Linked DNA regions of Macaca mulatta. The protein of the gene in region 6 interacts with the protein of the main gene of each other region in a pairwise test. Links are inferred from orthologs where the notes say so. Each region holds a gene or a part of one and is shown on either strand. Other genes may lie near its edges. The genes, in order: PSMF1, INPP5D, BAHD1, CCDC33, SIAH1 and KHDRBS3.

Region 1 (4,181 bases), on a different chromosome or scaffold from region 6:
GTGACAGGAGGACAAGTGCAACCTGAGCCCCACTGGCAATCAAGGAGAAAAGGCAGAGAGAAGCAAAAATACACCACGCTCTAGTTTGCAATCCAAACACCCATTCCTTCAAGAGCATGCAAGATTCAGGAAGAAAGGTGGCAATGCCTTACAAAAACCCCATTCCCCAGGGTCCTGGGCCTCCCCAAAGATTTCTGAAACCAGCATCTTTTTCTGGCCTGCAGAAGCTCAAAAAATAGCACCATGAACAGAGAAAAATCAGATGGACCTTGGGGAATTGGTCAAGGCCTTTTTTTTGGAAAAACAACAACAACAACAACAACAACAGAAAAAAACAGTATTAAAATGAGATTGTATTCTTTCTGTACATTTCATCCGAAAATTTTGCAGCCTTGAGTGTATGTAAAGGTGATAATGCCAGCTAAAAGAAGGTGTCGACTTATGTGAACTGATGTTCCCAAACTGTCAAAGTGATTCAACAGGATGAGTGAGGGTAAGAATGGTGGGAGCAGATTCACAGCGATTGATATTTATTTGTGGAATGGCAAGAAGAGAAGGGCATCAGGCACACCCTCTAGAACAAGTTCCGGAGCAGAGGTGGACAGGGTTCTGACAGTGTGGCAGAGTAGAAGTAGCTAGTTAGGGGTATGTAAGGGGAGTGAGGTACATGAGAAGGGACAGTGCAGAGCACAGCTGTTCCATCTGAAGGACAAGAGAGCTGAGGGCCAATGGAGGAGCTCCCAGGTCAAAATCAAATCTTACTCCTCTTCTCAGCCCCACTGTCCCCTGCACCATCCCAGATATCAGTTTCTTTGAAGAATCTACGAAAAGCTGAAATAAAATGACTGGGGCAAGTGAAGAGCTGCTCAAGATTAAAAAGCTGGAGTAGGACAAGTGGGGAGACAAGATTTCTGTTAGGGGGACTATGCACTGAAACAGGAGCCTGACACTGAAATGTGTCTCTACCTGGTACTAAGGTCTGAAATGCTGAAAGGCATTTGGAAGGTATGTGGAATGAAGGGCAGCACAAAGAGAAAGGACAGGGACAGATGTGTTTGGGAAGGTGAAATGGTTCCTGCTTCCAGGTGTGTGTGTGTGAAAGGCTGGCTGTTCTTTTCCATCCTCATCTCCAGTCATAGAGCCCATTTGAGAGATGAAGTATGTGTGAGTTTGGAGGTGGGAATGGGGATCCTGAGTGTGTACCTGGGGTCCCAGTGAGATAACTGAGGTCGGGGGCGGGCAGGGGAAGAGCCAGAAATCCCTGACAGTTCTTAGGCTCTGGTTCCTGCTGAAGGAGGTAAAGTGTGAGAGGGGTATCGTGGTCTTGGTCTTTAGTTCTAAGAGACAGAGAGGAATAGGGACAGCAGTGAGGGGGAGGGGAAAGGGGATACTTGCCTAAGTGCTCAGAATGTACAAAACAAGTTTGAAGACGGGTCCCTAAAGCTGTGTCAGGAGAGGAGAATTAAGACTCTATTTGAGAAGCTAAAAAAAATGATTAGAGGAGTTGAGGGCTGAAGCAGTCAAAAAGGAGAGGAAGGGTGATGGGGTGATCTGTTTCCCATGGCTGGTCTTGGTTCTGAGAGTGAGAGAACAGTGACAGTGAGGGGCACGCATGGAGGCAGGCCCAGTTGTCCCAGCAAGCAGATGTCTAGGATGATGTGGATGTGGGGATGAGGGTCACAGGGAAGAGACAGCAAAGACAGAAGAATGCTAGAGCAAAGAATTAGTGAGGTGGGTTGGGCCCAGCGGTCCTGGAACTCGGTGGGGATGACAACAACGTCCCTAGGTGTAAGAGGTGGAGCCTGGGGATGGGAGTGGAGGGGGCTGGCCCTATGGGGACAGCTATGAGGAGAAAATCTCATATGACTCTCACATCCAGGCTGTATGTGTATACGATTCTAGGGGGGACTGTTTCCTAGAGCTTGAGTTGGGGATGGCAGTAGCGAGTGGACTACGCTGGGCCCTTCAGTAAAGCGTGAAAGGCATGTGAACTCTCTGGGCCCATGCTAAGGGGTGAAAAAAGGGCCGTGGCCTGGGGCTGAGTAGGTCAAAGCTCACTCCCGTACCTGTGCTTGGATCCAGATGTTTGGTGGAGGCTCTAGTGTGGTATGAGGGGGGAACTGAGTCAGTCCCCTCACCCCGAGGCTGGGTGGGAAGGAATTCAGAGGAGATTAGGTGGGTGAGGAGTGCTCTGGGGAGCTAAACTCCTGTCTGGATTCTTTTCCATTCTATGGAATGCTAGGTCCACACAGTCCTGGCCTGAGAGGCTGCCAGGCTGTGTTGAAGCGAGTTTCTGCCCTTGAGTTTACAAATCATGTTGTGCCAGCTGTGCTGTGAGGGACTCTGGGCTGGGTTGGAGCAGGTGAGCAACCTCCGACCCGCAGGTTTTACCAACGCTGTCATGTGCCCCAGGCCCTGCATTGGGAAAGGCGGGGAAATCGGGCGCTCTGGACCAGGCCTCCGGGCCTCTGAGTTTGGACAGAAGACAGTTCCCTCCTCCACCCTGGCCGGCTCCGTGGCGTACCTGGTCACCGACACCCAAGCCGTAGTAGCCGTGTGTCACCATTTCCCAATGCAAGAAGCAGACGAGCGCGTCCTGCGTGCAGGTGATGGCCGGCGCTGCCGATGCGAACAGTACCTCCAGGCCCGCCATGAGCGCCAGCGACTTCGGCGTCTGGAGGAGAGAAGGGGGAGGGGGTAGTGCAGTGAGCCAGCTCCGCGGCCGAGGTAGCTATAACTCCGCTTCACTCCTGCGCTAGCTCTGGCAGAGCCTACACCTGAGACCAAGATGGAGACGCCCGGGGGCGGGGCGGGGCGGGGCCGCCGGAAGTAGCCCCAGGAGCGGGCGCAACTGCGTGAGGCGCGCCGGGCTGGCAACGCGAGCGCAGAACTAAAAGGTTCCGCCAGGGACCGCGCGGGGCGAGACCCCTCAAAGCCGGAACCTGGGTCTTCGCCGCGGCCGACAGGATCGCTTCACGCAAGCACAGCGCCCTCCAAGAGGCCACCTTGCTGAAAGCCAGACTTCCCATGCACAAAATGGGTTATGCTAGGCCGGGGAAGGGGCTGGGAAATGTGGCTAAAATACATTCTTAATAATCGTTAATACGTACGCAGTGCTTACTACCGGCCACATTATTCTGAATGCTTTACTTGTATTCATTTATTTAATCTTCACAACCCAACTCTATGCAGTTGATATTAACGATTAATGTGCCTCATTGCACAGATGAGGAAACTGAGGCACAGAGGGCTAATTTGACCAAGGTGACAACAGCCAGCCGGTGAATGGCTGAGATGGTTACAGGAACCTAGCAGTCTGGCTTCTAAGATAACATTTATTAAGTGTTTATTGTGTGCTACATCCTGTACTAAAACCTTTACATCACCTTCTCAACAACTCTATGATGTACCATTATTATCCCCATTTTGCAGATGACAAAACGGCTGAGAGTTGAAACCATTTTTCCAAGAAGACACAACTGCTGCCGGCAGAGCTGAAGCTCCTGACCCATTACCAAATTTCAATCATTTGTTTGACTACCCCCTTTATGATTTTTACCACCCATTACGTCAACAAGTTTCATGAAATCCACTTATTGTTTTTACCCAAATAAATTTAGTTTCCCCATCCCAGTCACCAACCTGGTCCAAGCTCCTGTCATCTTTCAGTTGGACGCCTGGCATCAGCCTCGGAACTGCCCCATTCCATTCCTGTCTCTCTCTGTACTGCACTTCGCAACCAGAGAGATTCTGTTAGAAAACAGGTCAGATCCGCCGGGTGTGGCGGCTCACGCCTGTAATCCCATCACGTTGGGAGGCCGAGGCAGGTGGATCACTTGAGGTCAGGAGTTTGAGACCAGCCTGGCCAACATGGTGAAACCCTGTCTCTACTAAAAATACAAAAATTAGCTGGGCGTGGTGGCGCACGCCTTTAGTCCCCGGTACTTAGGAGGCTGAGGCGTGAGAATCGATGGAACCCGGGAGGTGCAGGTTGCGATGAGCCAAGATCTCACCATTGCACTTCAGCCTGGGCAACAGAGCGATACTCCGTCTCAAAAAAGAAACAAAAAGAAAAAAGAAAACAAGTCAGATCACATCCCTCGGCTCAAAATCTCACAGGGTTCCCATCACGCTCAATGGAAAAGTAAAGTCCTCCCCGTGGTCTGCAGGAACCTGCATGT
Region 2 (3,500 bases), on a different chromosome or scaffold from region 6:
CTCCGTGGATCCACAACAGGCATAACTAATCAATCACTGAACTCTTATGAGGCCTCAGAATCTTGCTTAACTCACCTCCCCAGGTACTCACTATTCACTGTGCAGCTTTAGCTTGCAAATGGAAACCCCTTTGCCATCCCTTGTCTAAGCTCTGGAAGCTGGGCCCTCACATGCTCTTTCCCGGCCCTTTCCTTCCAGACTTTGTGAAGACAGAGCGTGATGAGTCCAGTGGGCCAAAGACCCTGAAGAGCCTCACCAGCCATGACCCCATGAAGCAGTGGGAAGCCACCAGCAGGTAAAGTGGGTGTGGGGTAGGTGTGAGGAGGGTGGATATCAGGGACTCATGACAAATTAGCATGGTTTGGCCGGGTGTGATGGTTCATGCCTGTAATTCCGGCACTTTGGGAGGCCAAGGCTGGAGGATCATTTGAGCGCAGGAGTTTTGAGACCAGCCTGGGCAACATATCGAGACCCTGTCTCTAAAAAAAAAAATTTGGCTAGGTGCAGCGGTTCATGCCTGTAATCCCAGTACTTTGGGAGGCCAAGATGGGTGGATCACTTGAGGTCAGGAGTTTGAGACCAGCCTGGCCAACATGGTGAAAACCCATCTCTACTAAAAATACAAAAATTAGCTGGGCATGGTGGCACATGCCTGTAATTCCAGCTACTCGGCGGGGGCGGGGGTGCTGAGGCACAAGAATTGCTTGAACCCAGGAGGCAGAGATTGCAGTGAGCCAAGATTTTGCCACTGCACTCCAGCAGTGACAAAGCGAGACTCTGTCTCAAATAACAATAATAATTAGCTGGGTGTAGTAGTCCTAACTACTTAGGAGGCTGAGATGGAAGGATTGCTTCAGCCCAAAAGGCTGAGGCTGCAGTGAGCTGTGATTGTGCCACTGCACTCCAGCCTAGGCGACAGAGTAAGACCTTGTCTCAAAACAAAACAAACAAAACACTAGCATGGCTCTGCAGACCCAGGGCCTGTGAGAAGGTGAACTGAAGCACAGAGAGACCCAGGACACAGGAGAAAGAAGCTCCAGCCCAGGAGAGGTGCTCTCCTGACTGCTCGGTGTCGTTTGACTGCTGGGGAGGTTGGTGTGACTGTGACAAAGCCTGGGAAACTCTAACGTGACGGAAAGTTCAGTTTGACTCAGCTAACATTTTGGAGTCCCTATGATGTGTCCAGTTCTAGAGAAATCAAGGCAAATTCAGTGCAGTCCCTGACTTAGGAACCTGCGGCCTAGTGCATGAAGAAGTGACTGCAGAGAGGATGGAGAGATTCCAAGTCTACAAATGGTGGCTGTGTCTCCTGTGGGACAAACGACACCAGCAATCATGGGATCTGTGGCCACCAAACCCCACCCTATCACTAGCAAGAAAAATCACTGCGGGAAAATGCACACCGGTTGTTCTCGGCAGAGACTGAACTGAGAATAGTACAGATGTTAAAGTCTGTATTACCAGAATACAGACATCCTTGGTAGCAGGGCTGCCCTAACTCACCGATGTGGTCTCGAGTTCCAGAATCAAGTTCTGGTCTCTTTGCCAGCTCACCAGCCGAGGAGGCAGAACCATGCCAGCAGCAGACATAGCTTGTTCCTCTCCTCCCTCCCTTCCCCACAACACTCGTCCCCACCAACCCTTGCCCTCACCCCAGCCACCCCCGTTGAACACAGGAATTCTCATCTCTAGCACATTCCCTGATCCACTTCCAGCTTCCGACGTTCACAGCTGTGGGCACACAAGCATCCCCTTTCCCTCTTTCCCTCCTATGATAATCCCATCAGCAAATGCATCCTGGCTCTGAAGTGTCTACTGGGTTCCAAAATCAGGATCAGTGTAGGGAAACAAATTCTTTTCCATTTTGACTAGCATGAGAACAAGCATTTATTTCTGAAGCAGACACTGGTGGATGGCAGCAAGGTACAACTCGGAACCAGGCTGGCGGAGCACATGGGAGATGTGGAGTGTCCCTGACAATCTATATACTCAGAACTCAGTTCTCAGGAGGCGAGTGCCTGACACAGTGACAGCATGCAATGTATCTGTTGGGGCCACCTCACCCAGGCCTGGGCCATGCCCTCCATAGCTTTAAGCTGATTGCCCCCCATTCCAGGCTCCAGCCTTGATCTCTGTGACCTCACACTCATTTTTCTAAATATGCACGTGGCTGCCTCCATGCTGACGCTGCACACACAAACGTGTGGGCTGATGTGTTCCAGATGAACCCGTGCCACAGTCTGCCCTGAAAATCCCCTCCTTCCTGCCACCCAGGCCACCCCCCACCATCTCTTTGCCCCACCAGCCTTGCAGCTTCTCACTCCATCCTCTGCACCTGCTCACCAGCCTTCAGACTGTCCAGGAACAGGCCAAACCCCTCTCACCTGGAGGCCTTTGCAAGTACTCTTACCACTGCCGAGAACACTCTCCCCTTCTTTCTCTCTTGTCTGCTTATCTTCTTATCTCAGCTAAAAGACCACCCCTCAGATGGGGCCTCCTGGGGCCACCCAATGCCCAGTTGGTCCCAATGCTTCACTAGCCTCCATCTCTTCCCCTTGTTACTCTCAGACTTCAGCACTACATCAATATTGTGTCTCTGTGCCACTGAGCTTGTTTTTCTCTCCCATCAAAAGTGAGTTCCATAAGAATAGAGACCACGGCTGCCTCACTCACAGCCATATTCCCTCCTCCTGGCCTGGGGCCGGGTGCGTTCAAGGCCCTCAGTAACCACAGTGTTGTGTGGATAGATGAATGAATGAATGAATCACTGCCCAAGAGGTGAAGGAGTTGAGGAGAGCCCGAGGGAGCCCCAGGGTTGTCAGAGGACACTTTCCTTGGGCTGGTGCTGACCCTGAGAAGGGAAGGGACCCCTGAGATGTGACTCCATGTCTTCCCTGCAGGGCCCCTCCATGCAGTGGCTCCAGCATCACCGAAATCCTCAACCCCAACTACATGGGAGTGGGGCCCTTTGGGCCACCAGTGCCCCTGCACGTGAAGCAGACCTTGTCCCCTGACCAGCAGCCCACAGCCTGGAGCTATGACCAGCCACCCAAGGACTCCCCGCTGGGGCCCTGCAGGGGAGAAAGTCCTACGACACCTCCCTGCCAGCCACCCATATCACCCAAGAAGTTTTTACCCTCGACAGCAAACCGGGGTCTCCCCCCAAGGACGCAGGAGTCAAGGTGAGTATCCTCTTCATTAAGACGGCTCCCTCCCTACTTATGAAAGCGCCCTGGGCTTTCACCCTAGAATGGAAGCCTCAGAAGGGCCACAATTTGTGTCTGCTTGGCTCATGACTTATGCCTGGGGCCTGAACACAGCAGGCTCCTAAGACATGTATGTGGAGTCTTCCATGTCCTAACCTATTGGTGCAACTCGATTTCTTTTTAAAGGGTAAAAATTTGTAAAGATATTGCCAAGAAAAGGAACCTCCTATAAAAACTATATACATATCAAAAAACAGGTTTTGGGCCGGATGTGGTGGCTCACGCCTATAATCC
Region 3 (4,203 bases), on a different chromosome or scaffold from region 6:
TTTGGTAACTGACTGGTTTTTTAATGAACACATTAACTCATTTCATCCTTACAAAACCCCTACGCGGTAGGTATCATTACCCCCATTTTATAGTTAAGAAAACTGAGACACAGAGCAGCTACTGACTTGTCCCATAGTCACATGGCTAGGGAAGTGGGGGAGAACATTCCACTCCAGGCAGTCTGGCTCCAGAGTCTGTGCTCAATTACGTGGCAAGCAGCCTCCCATATGTAAAGCACTTAGAACAGTGCCTGGTACGTGGTGTTTACTGGTGTCCTTATTATTAGGGGGAGAGGATGAGGGTCTAGACTTGGGGAATGGCACAAAAAAAGAAGGAAAACCCTCAGCAGCAGCCTGTTCTCATGTCACAAGAACTCTAACTCAAGCCACAACCTGAAATAACCAGTCTGGCCAGGGCCAACTGGTCTATAAAGTTGTTTTATAGACCCCTACAAGGAAGGATGTGGGGGGAAGGGAGATCTGGAAGGTTCAGCCCTCACCTCCCCAGCAGCAGGCCAGACCTGCTGGCCAGGACGTCTCATTTCCACCCAGGAGGCAGGCAGGGAGCCTGGAGAGGCAGGTGAGGATACCTCTGCCAGTTTAGGGAAGAGAAATGATTCTGGGAGTGTCTCAACAGCCGGAGCATGGGCAGGTGTCTGGGTCTTGTCAGGCAGGCAGACACCAAAGCTGTGGGCCCTGATTGCGTTCCATCCACGTCAGGGAACTCTGTTTGTCTGTTCTCACGGTGTACCCTCTCTATCCACACCCAGCAAAGTGATGCTCAGTCTGGGCACTTCTTTTTCAAGGCCTGTATAGCCAGGGAAAAGCTGCCCTGTGCAGTAGGTACCACCTACTGAGCCTGGTACCTACCACTCTTCCCATGAATACTGAACTTCACCTGCATGCAGAGAGTACTGGTTTCTAGAAAGTAAGGAATTCTAGCTTTCCTCGAGGAGGGCAGAAGGGCCAGGCCATTAGAACAGTTTGGTAAAAGTCCTAATTCCAATAACTAACCTGCTATTCAGAGTCTAAGAAGAAGTATCCCAGGATGAGGAGGGAAGAGAGGCCTTCCTGTGGCCTGTACCACTGCAATGCTACCTAACTGCCAGGCCAAGAATCTCCACAGGCAGCCTGGGAAGAGCAAGGCTGTCCACAACTATACATGGGGCCCTGTTCTTGGGAATGCTCCTCTGCTTGGGGCACAGACTACGGGAGTTCTCGCTTCTGAAAGCCCCTACCTTCCAGTTAGCAGCCAGACCCCAAGGGAGACCCCTGCTCAGATCAACAGCCCAACCTCCTGGGATGCTGTGTCTCTGAGACTCCTCAGTATATCCCGGACCCAGGAAGCCTCACCTGCTGCAAAAGGCATTTTGTATGGGCAGCCGCCACAGGTAGTGCCAGCGCGGGTGACAGACAGGGGCAACACTCCGCAGATGCTGTAGCCATTCACTCCAGTGTCCTCACTAGAGCAGTAGCGAGAGGAGCCCCAGGGAGGGTGCTGAAAAGGGGTGCCTGAGGGCACTGAGCTCGGGGCTAAGAGGAGCCCCTCTTCTTGAGGTGCAGCCACTGGGGATAGCTTGCCCTCAGGGAGCATGGGGCAGGGCGAGTAGCCCCCACACTGCAGCCCCTCTTGGCCACAGTACAGGTAGAAGCTGCCTAGTGCAGTGAGCTCGGGCCCAACACATAGGCCACTATAGTCGGCGGGGTTGCCAGGCATCGGCAGCGGAGACAGCTGAGGTGTGGGGAACGAGGGCTGATGCAGTTCCTGCTTAGGGGCGGGTGACTCCTCGCCTGGGCGCCCAGGCTCTGGCTTCAGAGCCGCCTGTCCACCCATCAGCAGGGGTAGGTGAGGGCGCAGCCCCAAAGGGCTCTCCAGAGCCTTGCTCAGGGGCTGATGAGATGGCTGGATGGATGGTCCGCGAGGAGTTGTAGATGGCCATGACTCATCAGGGCAGCCTTGCCAGCCGGGTGGGCCTGCAGCCTCCCCAGAGCTGGCCCCCTGCCAAGCCTTGGGATAGTTCTTGCCATTGACCTTGGGCCACTTTGGCCTCGGGGCCTTGGGTGCTGGGGGCTCAGTGGAGCGCCCATCTACTTCTGCATGGGCACGAGGCAGACGCAGGGGTAGCTCCCGCTCCTGGCTCAGCTTTAGGAAAGCAGCTGCGTTCAGGCTAGCCAGTCTCTTGGGAGCTGGGTCTCCATCTCGGCGGGGACCTTCATCTGGTGCTGGCTCTGGAGACAGGTCCCGACTTCCTCCTCCAAGGTCCCCCAGCCGGGGCCGCTTCTTGGAGGAGGACCAGCCCCCAGTAGCACGGTCCCGGTCCCGGCTGCGGTGGGGATCCCCCGCTCGGCTGCGGCGGGTGCCGGCCAGGCTGCCGGTGTCCTCTCGCTCCAGCAGCAGGTTATTGAGAGCTTCGGCATTGAGGGAGGCCAGGCGCCGCTTGCGGGGCTGGGCAAGGCCAGGGTCCTCACTGGATGGGGCTGGGCTGGGGGGCTTGGGCAGGTCAGGCGGTAGCTCATCAGCCTCATCTGCACTCCGGGGACCGGCCACATTCTCCAGGCGAGTCAGCAGCACTTTGCAGGCCTTGGGCTTCTCAGGAACCAATGGGCGCTTACGAAGTGGGTAGTTCTTGCGGCGCCCTGTGAGGTGACCTGGGCTCTCAGGCATGCCTGGCTCCACACCCTCAGCCCCCTGCTCCATGTTGCTGTCTTCCATCTGCAGGGGCTCTCGGCGGCCACTGGGGCCCGAACTCAGCATGGGAAGAGACTTTCTCCGAGTGTGTGTCATGGAGTACTTCCAACCTGCAGGACAGAAGGTGGGCAATGAGAGAAGCCCTCTCTGGCCTGCCCCTGCCTGCTTTCTCTCCCACTGCAGCCTACCCAGCCCCAGGTGCAGTGACCCTGGCCTCCAGTATGGGTTTTCCCAGGACTCCCCTTCCAGAGTGTGAAGGTGCAGTGGAATCAGGCTACCAGCAGCTGTGCAAGGACTGGTTCCCCCTCTTTCCTTTTAGCCTAGGGTTATCTCTGAACTAAGCCCCTGAAAAGCCTAGGGAGCAATGCAGACCCCAGGGACAGGGGATAGGAGGAGCTGGTGGCAAAGCTCTTTGTTTTCTTTCCGTCCTTCTCTCACTAGATACTCATCACTGGATAGGAGGAGGCTCTGAAGACAGAGCCTCCCAAGATGGGGGCTTGAGTGGTAGGAGTCCATCTATTCTTTATTATTTTTATTATTATTATTTGAGAGACGGAGTCTCGCTGGAGTGCAGTGGCGAGATCTCAGCTCACTGCAAGCTCCGCCTCCCAGGTTCATGCCATTCTCCTGCCTCAGCCTCCCAAGTAGCTGGAACTACAGGCGCCCGCCACCATGCCTGGCTAATATTTTTTTGTATTTTTAGTAGAGAGGGGGTTTCACCATATTAGTCAGGATGGTCTCGATCTCCTGACCTCGTGATATGCCCGCCTCAGCCTCCCAAAGTGCTGGGATTACAGACGTGAGCTGCTGCGCTTGGCCAGGAGTTCATCTATTCTTTCAAAAGTATAACCAAGGCATTAACAACCCCCTCCCCAAACACAGGGCTTCTGAGGTTGGCCACAGGAGGATAAGAAGACAGATAGTGAAGAGTTGAGATGGGGAACCTGCCTGCTGGGCCATGAAGAAGGCAAAGTCAGTCTCTGAGGACTCCTCCCCTGGCACATAAAGCAAGACCGCCACAACCTGGGTCTGGCTGGAAAAGCTCTATCAAGGGTGAAGGCCTGGCTTTGAGGGGCCCATGGTGGAGAGGTCTCAGCTTTGAGGGGCCCATGGTGGAGAGGTCTCAGCTTTGAGGGGCCCATGGTGGAGAGGTCTCAGCTTTGAGGGGCCCATGGTGGAGAGGTCTCAGCTTTGAGGGGCCCATGGTGGAGAAGTTTCATTTGAACTTCGGTTCAAATTCCAGGCAAGAGCAGCCCAAAGGGTGCCAGTACCTAGGGCAAGGGTAACAGTATGGCCGGGATCAGCATATTCCTGGGGATAGAGAAAACCCAGGGGCTGCACACTAGATCTGCCAAACCGCTTTAAACCCCTGCCGGCCACAAAGAGTTGGGAAAAGAAAGTATCAAAGAGAAGCACTAACACAGGAGACAAACGCGCTGCCTTGCTAGTTGTGCTCAGTTCTCCCTCTTTGTAGGCAGGGGCAGGATGCAAGGAGGTGGGGAAGAGTCTCAGGG
Region 4 (4,100 bases), on a different chromosome or scaffold from region 6:
CAAACTCTTCCACCCACGCCTCCCTTGCCACCCCTCTCCTCCAGCAGTCTGGGAGGCCTGAGGAGCTGAGCCCGGTTCTGCCCTCCAGAAGGACCCTGCATCTGAAAAGTCACACCAGCTGGAGAGGGGCTGGGCTGCGAGGCAGGGTGCCTGACTGCCCGGATCTGTCATTTAGGCGAGTTATTTGACTGCAGTGGGGCTATTTCCCAGCAGTTTCACAAGGACTTTCAGTTAAAAATGGTTCCCCATGTTCCTTCTAGCTTTGGCATCTAAACTTGCCTGGGAGTTACGGTGGTCAGGGGAAAGCTCTTTTTCAGGTGAGGAAGCACACTCAGAGAAAGTAAACCTCTTGCGTGAAAGCACACGGCTTAGCTAGTGGGGCCGGGGCTGGAACTGGAAGCAGGGTCCGTCTGACCCCACGCTCTTGCTGTCTCTGCTGTGCTCTGACCATGCTTCCTTGGATGTGGGTCCCTTCTCTGCTCCACAGTGGATACCCCGTTGAACTCATAACCTGAGTATCCATTGGTGGCAGCAAGAGGAATTGTGTTCTTTGGAGCAGAGAAGCATTCCCAAAGATGACACAAAAGTCAGAAATCATTAAAAAAGGATAGGTTTGATTACATTTAAAAAATCTATACAAACTTCTGTAATGATCCAAAATGCCCTGCAATACAAAGAAAAGGAAAAAAGGAGAAAATGTTTGCTATATATTTAAAAAAGGATTAATATCCGTAGTATACAAAGAGCACTGAAACCTATAAGCATTACCCAATTAAAAAAACATGAACTGGGTATTCACAAAAGAAGAAACACAAATATATATATTATATACATGATGAGCATCCTTTTTTTTTTTTTTTTTTTCTTTTGAGACGGAGTTTCGCTCTTTGTAGAGACAGGGTTTCAACATGTTGGCCAGGCTGGTCTCAAACTCCTGCCTTGGCCTCCCAAAGTGCTGGGATTACAGGAGTGAGACACTGTGCCTGGCCAACATCATTTTTTTTTTTTTTTTGAGACGGAATCTCACTCTGTTGCCTAGGCTGGAGTGCAGTGGAACGATCTCGGCTCACTGCAACCTTCATGTCCCAGGTTCAAACTATTCTCCTGCCTCAGCCTCCTGAGTAACTGGGATTACAGCTGTGTCCCACCAAACCCAGCTAATTTTTGTATTTTTAGTAGAGACGGGGTTTCACCATGTTGACCAGGCTGGTCTTAAACTTGCCTCAGCCTCGCAAAGTGCTGGGATTACAGGCGTGAGCCACCCCCCCGGCCATGATGAGCATCCTTATGGGCGATTCTACCCAGCTATCAAAGTGCTTCTCAAAGCTACCAATCAAAGCAACCTTGGCTCCTTCTCAGGACTCCCACGCACACTCCCTGGATCCCCAATCCCAGCTATGTGGGGCAGGTGGGGACCACCTGGCAGCTTAGGGTGCCAGATCAAACTGGTGCCTGGTCCTGAGTGTGTGGCATTACAGAAAGAGTCTTAATGGGGAGGGTGGAGTCTGCGGAGGTTCAGGGGCAGCTGTGGGCAGAGAACATCAGGAACCAGAGACATCAAAATCAAGGGTAATAAAGTGGAAATCACACTAAGGCCTGAGCACCCCCAGCTATTTGGCTTATTCAAGCTGAGTATAACTACAAAGAGGGTATTCCCCGTTTGCAAGTACCGATGTGCCTTTGGTCTCAGCTCCTTCTGGTATCCCTGTGGGTAACACCATCTAGGGCAGGGGCTCTGCCTTGCTAGTGAGAGGAAGGTAAGGGGTCCCTTGCACTGAACTGTTTATATCTCATTGCAATAAGATTCTAGTCCCTTCCTGGCAGAACCCTGCTGCTAGGCCACAGCTTTTTATTAAGCACCCACTATGTGCCAGGCACTGTTCTGAGTGCTGGGGATACAGAGATGAACAAAACACACAAAAATCCCTTCTCTCCAGAGACCCAAGCATCTGCGTTCCAGGGCAGGGGCCTAGGCCCCAGAAAATCAGGGCCAGGGCTAGGAGAGCATGGGGGCAGTGGGGGCATCAGGGCTGCCAAGGTAGCAGCCTGGGAATATCCTGGGAGATATTGGATGGGGGTAATGAACCATCTCAGTGGGCTCTCAGACTGTGTGACCCCAGCAACAAGAGGGCAGAAACAAGCAGGTAAGGGTGGTCAGCACTGACAACACCCGCAAGTACACTGCATTCCAGTTCCCACGTGGCCCAAGAGTATAGGGCAGCTAACCTGGGAGAGCCACAGAGACCGCCTCACTCCCCATTTCACAGCTGTGAAAACTGAGGCCCAGAGAAGGGAAGCTTTTGTCATGATTAAGGAACAAATGAAACTTTGAAGGAGAGACTTTGAAGGAGGGATGGATTCATGCAGGTGTGTGGCCCATTCCCCTGGCCTTACCTTTTTGTTTTTCAGTCCCATCCTCTTGAGGCCAGGAGTGTCTGGCCTTGTTTAACAATCTTGGGGACGAGTACCTGGTATAAGTGGGTGATCAGGCATCAGTCCTGCCCAGACAGTTGGCCTGGGCGTCTTGGAGTCCTTATGGTTAGTGGACAGTATGGAGGTCAATGTGGTCTCAGGGGTGCCACACACCAGCCCTGGGGTCTGGATGTTGGGGAAGGGGGAGGGTGGCCAGGTGGGGGCAGGTCCTCGATCTCTCAGCAGCAAGATGGTCTATGGGTGGAGGGGCCTAGGGGGTTGCAGGCCATGGCCAGTTGGACAGGGTCAGCAACGAGGCGATTGACTCTTGGCACTCCCAGGACGGTGGAGAGATGGGAGAGCCCTCTCTCTGCCCAGGCCTGGAAAAGCAGTGAGCTTTTCCACCTAGCTGGGTCACCTGGGCAACATTGTGTGATGTCACAGGGCAGGGCCAAAGTCACACAGGCACCTGTCCAGGTGCAGTGAGCTAGAACACGAATCTCTTTTCCCTATTCCTGGAGCTGTGTTCCACCTGCCGCCTGGCACTCAGGCCTCACCCTTCCTGTTCTTGGTGCCTCACATAGTCTCCACCGACCCTGTGGCATGGCCAGCCCCATGCCGCTCACACTGCAGCAAAAGAGGAAGCCAGACACTGCTCTCAAGAGCGTGGCAGCTTGATCGGTAAAACAGCTACTTCTGTTGAAGAATCTACCAGCCATCGTGCCTCTTTGGGTACCTATAGTCTTCCATTTATTTGATAATAATAAACACAAACTTCAAGAGGATGGTTTCTTCTGGGAGGGTGGGTGGGAAGATGGGGGAGAGAAGAGGGTAAGAGCATACATTCTAAACCTTTGGGTTTTTAGATTGGGTGGTCAGTTAATGGGAGTTCATTATATTATTGAAAATAAATTAGAATTAAACAACTAAAGAAAGCCATGATGGGCCAGTGATGGCACTAGAGTATGAACCAAAGATTGTGGTTCAGTTCTGAGTGCTGCAAGAAATTATTACGAAGACAAAGTATGTCTTTTAGTGGAGCATTTGCAGCACACCAGGCAGGGTTCTAAGTGCTTTTGGTGAGGTGAGATGGCAGAATGAGGAGAGGCTAGTCGTTGGCCTGGGGTGGGGAGTTGTTCTATAGAGAGGTGAGGTCTGAACTGGGCTTTGAAGGATCATCAGAAATCCTGGGCTAGAAGAGGAGGGATCTGGGGTGCTGGGTGGTGGTCAGAGGTGTTTGGGAGGCCCCTGTGGCCTGCCTCATTTCTACCTATTTTGGGCCCCATGTTGGAGATTCTTTTAATCTGGCCGAAGAGCAGGACCAGCCTGGCAGCCAGGAGGCAGAAGACTCCTGCTTTGCAGAGGCCTCCCAGCCTCCCTCTCTACCCCCCCTCCAGAAAGAGCAGCAGCGAGGATGTGGTTCTCCCCAGGTTAGAGACAGAAAAACTGAGGCTTTGTCTTTGATTAGAACTGAAAGGACCAGCCAAGACCACCCAGACACTGGTGGGAGATGGAAGTCGGGAACCCCACTCCTAATTTTCTCCCCGTCTAGGCCTGCCAAGAGTGGTACCGCTGGGGCTCTGGGACTGGGGGCCTGACCAGGAATGGCCTGGCTGTGAGCACTGTGCTTTATCTCCCTTGTGGGCCAGCATGTCCCAGCACAGTGTGTATGTGTGGAAAGGTCTCAG
Region 5 (4,026 bases), on a different chromosome or scaffold from region 6:
TATAGGGAGTTACAGGTGAAGTCCTGGATAAAATCGGCACTCTGTATTCACACGGTCTGCATCCAAGGACTTCACCACAGCCATGGATTGAAAATATTCAGAAAAATTTACAAATAATACAAAATTTTTAAAATACAGTCTATAACAACTATTTACGTATTATTTACATTGTATTAAGTAATCCAGAGATAATTTAAATTATACAGGAGAATATGCACATACATATACGACACCATTTTCTATCAGGGACTTGAGCATCCTCAGGTTTTGGTATGGGGAAGGGGGTCCTAGAACTAATCTTCCGAGGATACCGCGGGACAAGTGTAGTTCCAATGCCAAAGAATCAGAGAACCTTCCATTAACTCTTCTTAATGGTAAGCCATTATCTACTCTAGAGGTGTACTTTGGGAATGAGGGGAGGGGTCACAAGGGGAAAGGTCTGCTGCCATCCCATTATCCATCTTTACCTAATTAAGTCTTCCCCCCAAATTATCATCAGCCAGGTATTAATCTTATTTCTTACTGATTAGTGCTCACCTCAAGAGTGAGGGGATGTACTCGCTAGTGAAGGTAGCAAAAATATAAAAATAAACACACAACAAAGGTGAAGGGAGACATAGGAGAAATGGAGGGCCATCTCAAAACTTTTTAGTCTGGTAGAGAAAGTACATCTTTCTGTTCCACTTTCAATCCACAATATGTATCAGACATAATGAACAAAGGAGGAGAGTCAGGAAGAGACAGTGAAAAAGGAAAGAATAAAGATGATAGCACGGCAGAGATAATATACCATACTGGGGGTGGGGGATGAAGTCAACAGGTGAAGAACCCCTTGCAGCCTAGGGTTCTCCAGCGTTGCTGAAACATTCATCAGCAGAGTAATCAACGTTATTTAACAAGTAAATGTCATCTGGAAGAAATAATCGACAATGTAACTAGTCAAGCTGAGTCAAACATAAAACAAGCAACTTTTCCCAGGAAGCTACCTGGGCTGGGATATTGCAGGCCACTATTTGTCTTGGGGGTGGAAAAAAAGATCAGTCGATGTCCTAAGAGTGCACTCCTAGTAACTCTACTAAGCCATATTCTTTTTTTTTTTTTTTTTTTTTTGAGATGGAGTTTTGCTCTTGTTGCCCAGGCCGGAGTACAATGGTGCCTGCTCACTGCAACCTCTGCCTCCCAGGTTCAAGCAATTCTCCTGCCTCAGCCTCAAAAGCAGCTGGGATTACAAGTGCCTACCACCATGCCCGACTAATTTTTGTATTTTTAGTAGAGACGGGGTTTCACCATGGCTGGTCTCAAACTCCTGACCTCGTGATTCCCCGGCCTCGGCGTCCCAAAGTGCTGGGATTACAGGCATTGGCCACTGCGCCCGGCCACTAAGCCATATTACAAAATTAAAGCTTCAAAATTAATGTTTTAATTCAATTATAGTCATTATTCTGTTGCAGGGAACTTTTAAGAAACAATGTTGGTTACCAATGTGACCAAGTAAATGCAACTTGGTTTCTAGATTACCCAAGTGGTTACCAACTGATAGCTTAAATGAGGGCTTAGGGTGAAGGAAAAATAAAGATTAATTCCACATCACTAAAAGGATATTTTAAAGTTCAAGAGGCAACAAAAGTGACAGAATTCCATCATAATGTGTCTCATCATACGGACTCAGAACATGAATCAACTCTCATCTGAAGCCCAGTGTGACCCAGGTGTTCTGTCCCCTGACAAAGGACTATAAAGGAGCTCTCCTGTAATCCAGTTTCCCTCTGAGTAGATTCTTTGTACATATGACATCCATTTTATGTCACTTGTAAAACAGTGGGCTCAGTATTGCCAAAACACCCTGGCTGTATGCTGTATGCCTACTGCATGGTCCAGTTTACTTCAGTAAGCAGCATAACAATTACAAAGTGGTTCCTTGGGCACAAAACAGTCTAGTCAACCAATGCCTTTCAGATTACTAAACCAAACCAAGGAATCACATCCAAGGGCAGTAAACTCAGTTTATATTTAACACAACATAGCTAGAGACCGAGAAAAACACTGTTGTTCACAATTTCTTGACCTAGCAATAGTTATACATTTATCATCAACAGTTCAGGCTCACAATACATCTTTACCATTTTCCAAACACTATAGAAAGCACATTTTAACTCCTATTCAAAGTGTGAAAAAGAACTGAAATGTGAACGGTATTTCTTGTGAATGGAGGTATTACAGGACAGCAACTGCTAAAGCCTCTCAAAGCTCCAAGGGTGGAACCCAGCTCCATCTTGAAACAGAAAAGGAATCCCAACCACACAGCCGCCCTGCAGTAGGAACTAAGGACAGCCCTGCAGAAGTCATGACGTAACCTGAAGTTTGATTTAAACATAAAAAAGCACAGCAACCCAAATGAAACATGACTGAGAACCTCGGAAACGGCTGGATTCTGCTGCAGCCATTCCCTAAGCCAGACAGGTTCCACTGACTAATAGCGTTCAAGCTTCATAGCCTCAGCAACCTATCCTCTTAATGTCAATACCTTTTCTCTTCCTTGTCCTGGCCGCTGGTAAACATGTGAACAAGACTCCCCTCCAGGAGTACAGAGAAGGTGGAGTAGCCTTTCCCGTCATGAGAAGTCAGGCCGCGCATTGCGTTTCCCCCAAGAAGTAAAGGAACAGGCCCCTCCTGGGCACTTTCTGCTCCTAAGCACAGAAGACCCAAATTCGCGTCTGAGGTCAGGATCCAAATATCCATTTACTTCTCAGAAGCACGAGTTACAGAGGTGGAGAAAGGAAGCCTTCCCATCCCCAGGAGGCAACCACACCTCCCTGTGAGCTCAAATTCGGCTGCATCTCCAAAAATGGGAGCCACAGCTGCGCTGTCCTCCAGTGTGCCCTAAGCTTTCGTCTGTCTCCCAAGTTTGTCTTCTCCAGATTCACTCCGTAGGCTACTGCCCAGCTCCCCAGCTCCGGTGGAGGCCGGGGATGCAGGGGGCGACGCGCTCACTGCGAAGGAAGTGCGCTCCCTGAGCCAGCTCAGGGGCTACTGCAGAAGCCTGCCTGCTGGAGAGCCATTTGGAGCCTCGGCCGGGGCTGGGCCTGCGTTGGGAACGCCCACTCCAACCCGGGGCGCCAGGGCCAGCTCAGGGCGCGCAGCGCGCAGGGCGGTGCCCGTCTTGCTCGCGCAGGGGTGGGGCTGTGCCCGCAAGCCCCGCCCCGCAGCCCAGGGCGGGGCCCCGCCACCCCGCTGTTGACCCCATCCCACCCCAGCGACATCGAGCCTTCCTCAGCATTTCCACCAGTTTAAAATTAGGTAGAACCATGCTGTTTTCGGTAGGTCACAACAGTCGAATATCGGCAGTTTCTCACGGTTCGATCTAAGAGCTACAGCGTATCTGGCGTATCTGGGAAATGCGTGCCCACACCGGCGCTACATTCCCGGTTCATCGTGCAAACTTAATTTTTAGAGTGAAAACATTCTCCTTAATTCATTCAACAGCTATTTACCGGGCATCAACTACCATATTTACTCAATTCTAGCTCACTTCATTTCTACTCCTATGGGCACTATATTTTAAACTCTCCTTCCCCGCTGTGAAAAGACTTCGCAGGAAAAGTTGTAAGCACACTTCTGCCACATTAAACTCCTACTTAAACCTCCTAAGAGATTATACTCTTCCCACTCTGGGAAAGCCATCTTAAATGGCCTCATTAAACACAGAGTAGCTTGTTTTGTTTTTAAACAAGCATTACCCTTGCCCCAATAAAGTCCTGGGCCTCAGATTTGCATTGCATCAGCTAGTGCGTGCAGAGGTTTAACCTGTCATTACATCATGCTTAGGGCAGCCTCCAAATGCAGCAAGAGCTGGCAGTGAGGAGTGAACCCAATGCAAGGAACTGCAGATTACCCACTTTCAGCAAGAAATTTTAACTCTACCCACTTCCTCACTCTATTAACAGTGTGTCCAATCACCTCAACCTCATTTTACAATACAGGCTACACAAAACAACATTAGGAAAAGAAATATAATTGAAAATAGAC
Region 6 (3,500 bases):
TAGGACCGGCATAGCTGAGATGAAAGTGTAGCTGAGTAAATCCCATGCTCATCTCCGGCTCTGTCTATTAGTCTTTCTTTTCTTCGTAAGAGTTCAAATAGTCAAGTCACAGAAGTTGAATCCTTCAAGGGTGAAGTCAAGGCTTATGTGCCTCTAGCATTTCATCATTGGCCTCTTGCTTAGTTGTGAAATTAAAAGGTGGTATTGCCAGGAATTCCTGGGGTTCCCTTGGTTATGGGATAGCCTTTTTGAGAGACTAGAAAGATTTCTTATCTTTTGGAAATTAGTCTCAGGTTTCTGTTAATCTTAATCTGTCTGATATTAACATTGGAAACAAAGATTACTGGAAGACCCAGATTCTGAAATGAGGACCTAACATTGAAGGTTAGTTAGGAAAAGGGAGAGGAGCAAAATCAGGAGTTCCTTAACAATCTGTTTTTTCTCCTCCTAGTTTTCCTCCTACATTTCATTATGGAAACAAAGATTAAAAACTTTTGTCATAATTGTGTAAAATAATGTAATAAAGTCTTTCATTTTGTTTTATTCACTGTTTTATTCTCAGAATATAGTGCTTGGTATGTAGAAATGTTTTTTGAATGAATATGTGAACGAGCAAATTGACATAGCAATGAATGAATGTTTAATCATTCATTCAACAAATCTTTGTTGAACATCTGTATACCAAGCACTTTTCTAGACATGGAAAATGCATCACTAAGCAAAGCAGTCACAGTGTCTGCTCCATGGTAATCACTTTTTACTAAGAGAAAATAGACATGTTTTTTAAAATAAGATATTTCAGATAGTGGTAAGTGCCTTGCACCAGCATCACAGACACACACAGCCAGTGTAGAAGTGAGCACGTGAGCTCAGCCAGGTTGAGAAGCACAAAGGAAGCATGGGCAGCTGCTGCTGAGGGCTGAGCCAAGGAGACTGGAGAAGGTGAAGACAGCCTAGCAGTGGAAGTGAGCAGATGATGGAGCTCCTACAAGTCAGCATCTGGAGTGGGATGTTATTCCAGCAGCAGTAGGAAGCCTTTGGAGTGTGTGTAAAAGCCTGGGAATATCAGGATCACATTTGTAGCTTAAACCGTCTTTTCTAGAGTGGTGTCTACTGTTTCGTGAATTTTCTGTGACAACCGCATGCCAAATGGATTGTTTTTATTTTGGGGGATTAGTTTTTATTTACTTATTTTTTTATTTTTTCATTTCTTACAATGACACATTTTTGAATGTGATTTCTTTTTTCTTTTTTCCAGGAAGAAGAGTTGAGGAAAAGTGGAGAAGCAAAGTACTTCCATCTCAATGATGATCTCCATGTTCTCATTGAAGTGTTTGCCCCACCTGCAGAAGCTTATGCCAGGATGGGACATGCTTTGGAAGAAATCAAAAAGTTCCTCATCCCTGTTAGTACAATTTTTCTTGATTGTTAACTTGTACTTTAAAGTCTTTGCTTTAATCCTTGATAATTCTTGTCTGTAACTGTTATTTGCGTAGCTCCTTTTCCGCTGAAAAGCTGTATGGACATCACCTCACGTAGACCTTACAGTGTCCCTGTGAATTACTGGGCATCATTCCTTCTTTATATATGAGGTGTTGGAATTTCAGGAAGATTCAATAATATGGCCAAGGTTACATAGCTAAAAAACTTGCATAGCACAATCCCTAGTTCAGGTTTTGAAACACGTTTCCTACGATTTTATGTGACACTTTGCAAATTTTTTGTTCTCCAACACAAAACCGTTAGTGCCTTCTGCGTGCCATGCACGGTGCTTGGTGTTGGCATGCAGACTTGAATAAAAGCAGTCCCTGCCCTCGTTTAGTATAATATATTATGTAATTTTGAGGAAAAGAGAAACATCAATAGATGATTTCAGTACAACATGATAAATATAGTAACAGACATAACCATAATGAGCACAGAGGGCATGGGCTATTTAGCTAGCTTCTGCCAAGAATTTTGGATGTTTCGTTAAAAATTGACTATCTGTTTTAACCCTTGCAGACACCTTGACATTGCTAAGGATGTGACAATTTAAAGGGAATACATCTCTACCTCTGTTACAAAAATTGATTTAAGTCTTTTGTGTGATTTGTATGCTCTTGATAAAAGGACTTTTTATGTCATTTGCATGCTCTTGGTAAAAAGAATCATAAAGTATTCAACACTTTGGCGCTGCAGACTATTTTAGAGAAACTGACACATCTGTCAAATAGTTCTCTGGATAAGACTGTCTTTGGTTATCCTAGGCTAGTTTGGTGGATTGACTTACATACTACAGCACTTGTACTGTGATTATACTATGTGTGAGGAAAACAATTGTTATATTTATAGGCAAAGGATATTTAAATCACTTTTGCCTTTAAAAAGCCAGGACATGGAATTGCATTAAGTATGTAATAACCTGGGAACTGAAATGGCTAGTATTTTCTTTAGTTCCCATGAGCAAATATGACAATCTATTTCTTCATTTAGTTTAAAAACAAAATTTCTAAGGGCTTCGCTATGTGATAGGCAGATGTGAACTAATAAAATACATGATCTCTCATGGAGTTTCATGGCAAAGTCAGATATGAATCAGTTTTTCATACAAATGACTACGAAACTGAAACCCTGACAAGACCACAGCTAAGGAGAGGTGTATGTTTTGGTGATGATGCAGTGTGGCGCAGGCAGTGCGTCTCTAGCCAGGTGAGACAGATTCTCTTTTCCACAGATGGCTGCAGTAGCACCTTTTATCCCGTGACCCCTACAGTCCTTCCCCGGGGTAGACTCTAATTTCCCTCACACCGAATCTGGGCTGGCCAAAAGAATCTTCGCCTACTGAAGGTCACCAAGATTTTCTGTTTTCTTTAAATGTTTTTCAGTATTCTCTCACTTAAAATCCATTTTGAGTTAATTTGTTTATTTCAGGTCTCTAAATTTATGTTTTTCTGGATGAATATCCAGTTTTCCTAGCACCATATGTTGAAAAGACAATCATTTCCTCATTCAGTACCTTAGTACCATTGTTGAAAATTTACTAAACATAAATGTAAAGGTTTATTTCTGCACTCTCAAATTCTTTTTCATTGATTTGTATGCCTACTCTTAATGCCAGTAGCATGCTCTTAATTACTTTATCTTTAAGTAAATCTGGAAATCTAGGTTGTGTAAATTGTCCAACTTTGTTCTTTTTCAAACATTTTTTTTTACTTTTCTGGCTTCTTAGCATTTTTATATATGTTTTAGGATCAGCTTCTTAATTTCTGTTTAAAAAAAAAAAAGCTGGCTGGGATTTGATACATATTATATTGAATCTATAGATCAGTTTGGGGATAATTTTCATCTTAACAATTTTGAGTTTTCCAATCCAGGAACATGAAATGTTTCTTCACTTTTAAAAAAGATATTACAAAATGTTTCTCAATAGTGTTTTATCGTTTTCAGGGTATCAGCCTTTTCCTTTCCTTTGCAAAATTGATTTGTAAATATTGTATACTTTTTGATACTATTGTGAG

Evidence for each region.
Region 1: the proteins of KHDRBS3 (region 6) and PSMF1 interact in a two-hybrid assay, tested with the Homo sapiens proteins (2 studies listed by BioGRID and IntAct). The link is inferred for Macaca mulatta from reciprocal best matches to the Homo sapiens genes KHDRBS3 and PSMF1.
Region 2: the proteins of KHDRBS3 (region 6) and INPP5D interact in binary tests that used the Homo sapiens proteins (3 or more experiments, as listed by UniProt). The two-hybrid records come from large-scale screens. The link is inferred for Macaca mulatta from reciprocal best matches to the Homo sapiens genes KHDRBS3 and INPP5D.
Region 3: the proteins of KHDRBS3 (region 6) and BAHD1 interact in binary tests that used the Homo sapiens proteins (3 or more experiments, as listed by UniProt). The two-hybrid records come from large-scale screens. The link is inferred for Macaca mulatta from reciprocal best matches to the Homo sapiens genes KHDRBS3 and BAHD1.
Region 4: the proteins of KHDRBS3 (region 6) and CCDC33 interact in a two-hybrid assay, tested with the Homo sapiens proteins (2 studies listed by BioGRID and IntAct). The link is inferred for Macaca mulatta from reciprocal best matches to the Homo sapiens genes KHDRBS3 and CCDC33.
Region 5: the proteins of KHDRBS3 (region 6) and SIAH1 interact in a two-hybrid assay, tested with the Homo sapiens proteins (3 studies listed by BioGRID and IntAct). The link is inferred for Macaca mulatta from reciprocal best matches to the Homo sapiens genes KHDRBS3 and SIAH1.

Annotation. Positions count from the first base shown.
Region 1 is NC_133415.1:83,016,317-83,020,497, forward strand, and holds the start of PSMF1 (proteasome inhibitor PI31 subunit), read right to left. Parts: upstream 2,801-4,181; 5' UTR 2,654-2,800; coding exon 2,525-2,653; intron 1-2,524. UniProt on the Homo sapiens protein: Plays an important role in control of proteasome function. Inhibits the hydrolysis of protein and peptide substrates by the 20S proteasome. Also inhibits the activation of the proteasome by the proteasome regulatory proteins PA700 and PA28.
Region 2 is NC_133417.1:138,473,440-138,476,939, forward strand, and holds part of INPP5D (phosphatidylinositol 3,4,5-trisphosphate 5-phosphatase 1), read left to right. Parts: intron 1-198; coding exon 199-295; intron 296-2,900; coding exon 2,901-3,182; intron 3,183-3,500. UniProt on the Homo sapiens protein: Phosphatidylinositol (PtdIns) phosphatase that specifically hydrolyzes the 5-phosphate of phosphatidylinositol-3,4,5-trisphosphate (PtdIns(3,4,5)P3) to produce PtdIns(3,4)P2, thereby negatively regulating the PI3K (phosphoinositide 3-kinase) pathways.
Region 3 is NC_133412.1:17,779,041-17,783,243, reverse strand, and holds the start of BAHD1 (bromo adjacent homology domain-containing 1 protein), read right to left. Parts: upstream 2,801-4,203; 5' UTR 2,786-2,800; coding exon 1,354-2,785; intron 1-1,353.
Region 4 is NC_133412.1:52,149,698-52,153,797, reverse strand, and holds the start of CCDC33 (coiled-coil domain-containing protein 33), read right to left. Parts: upstream 2,801-4,100; 5' UTR 2,416-2,800; coding exon 2,395-2,415; intron 1-2,394.
Region 5 is NC_133425.1:43,776,374-43,780,399, forward strand, and holds the start of SIAH1 (E3 ubiquitin-protein ligase SIAH1), read right to left. Parts: upstream 2,801-4,026; 5' UTR 2,616-2,800; coding exon 2,525-2,615; intron 1-2,524. UniProt on the Homo sapiens protein: E3 ubiquitin-protein ligase that mediates ubiquitination and subsequent proteasomal degradation of target proteins.
Region 6 is NC_133413.1:145,925,448-145,928,947, forward strand, and holds part of KHDRBS3 (KH domain-containing, RNA-binding, signal transduction-associated protein 3), read left to right. Parts: intron 1-1,258; coding exon 1,259-1,405; intron 1,406-3,500. UniProt on the Homo sapiens protein: RNA-binding protein that plays a role in the regulation of alternative splicing and influences mRNA splice site selection and exon inclusion. Binds preferentially to the 5'-[AU]UAAA-3' motif in vitro.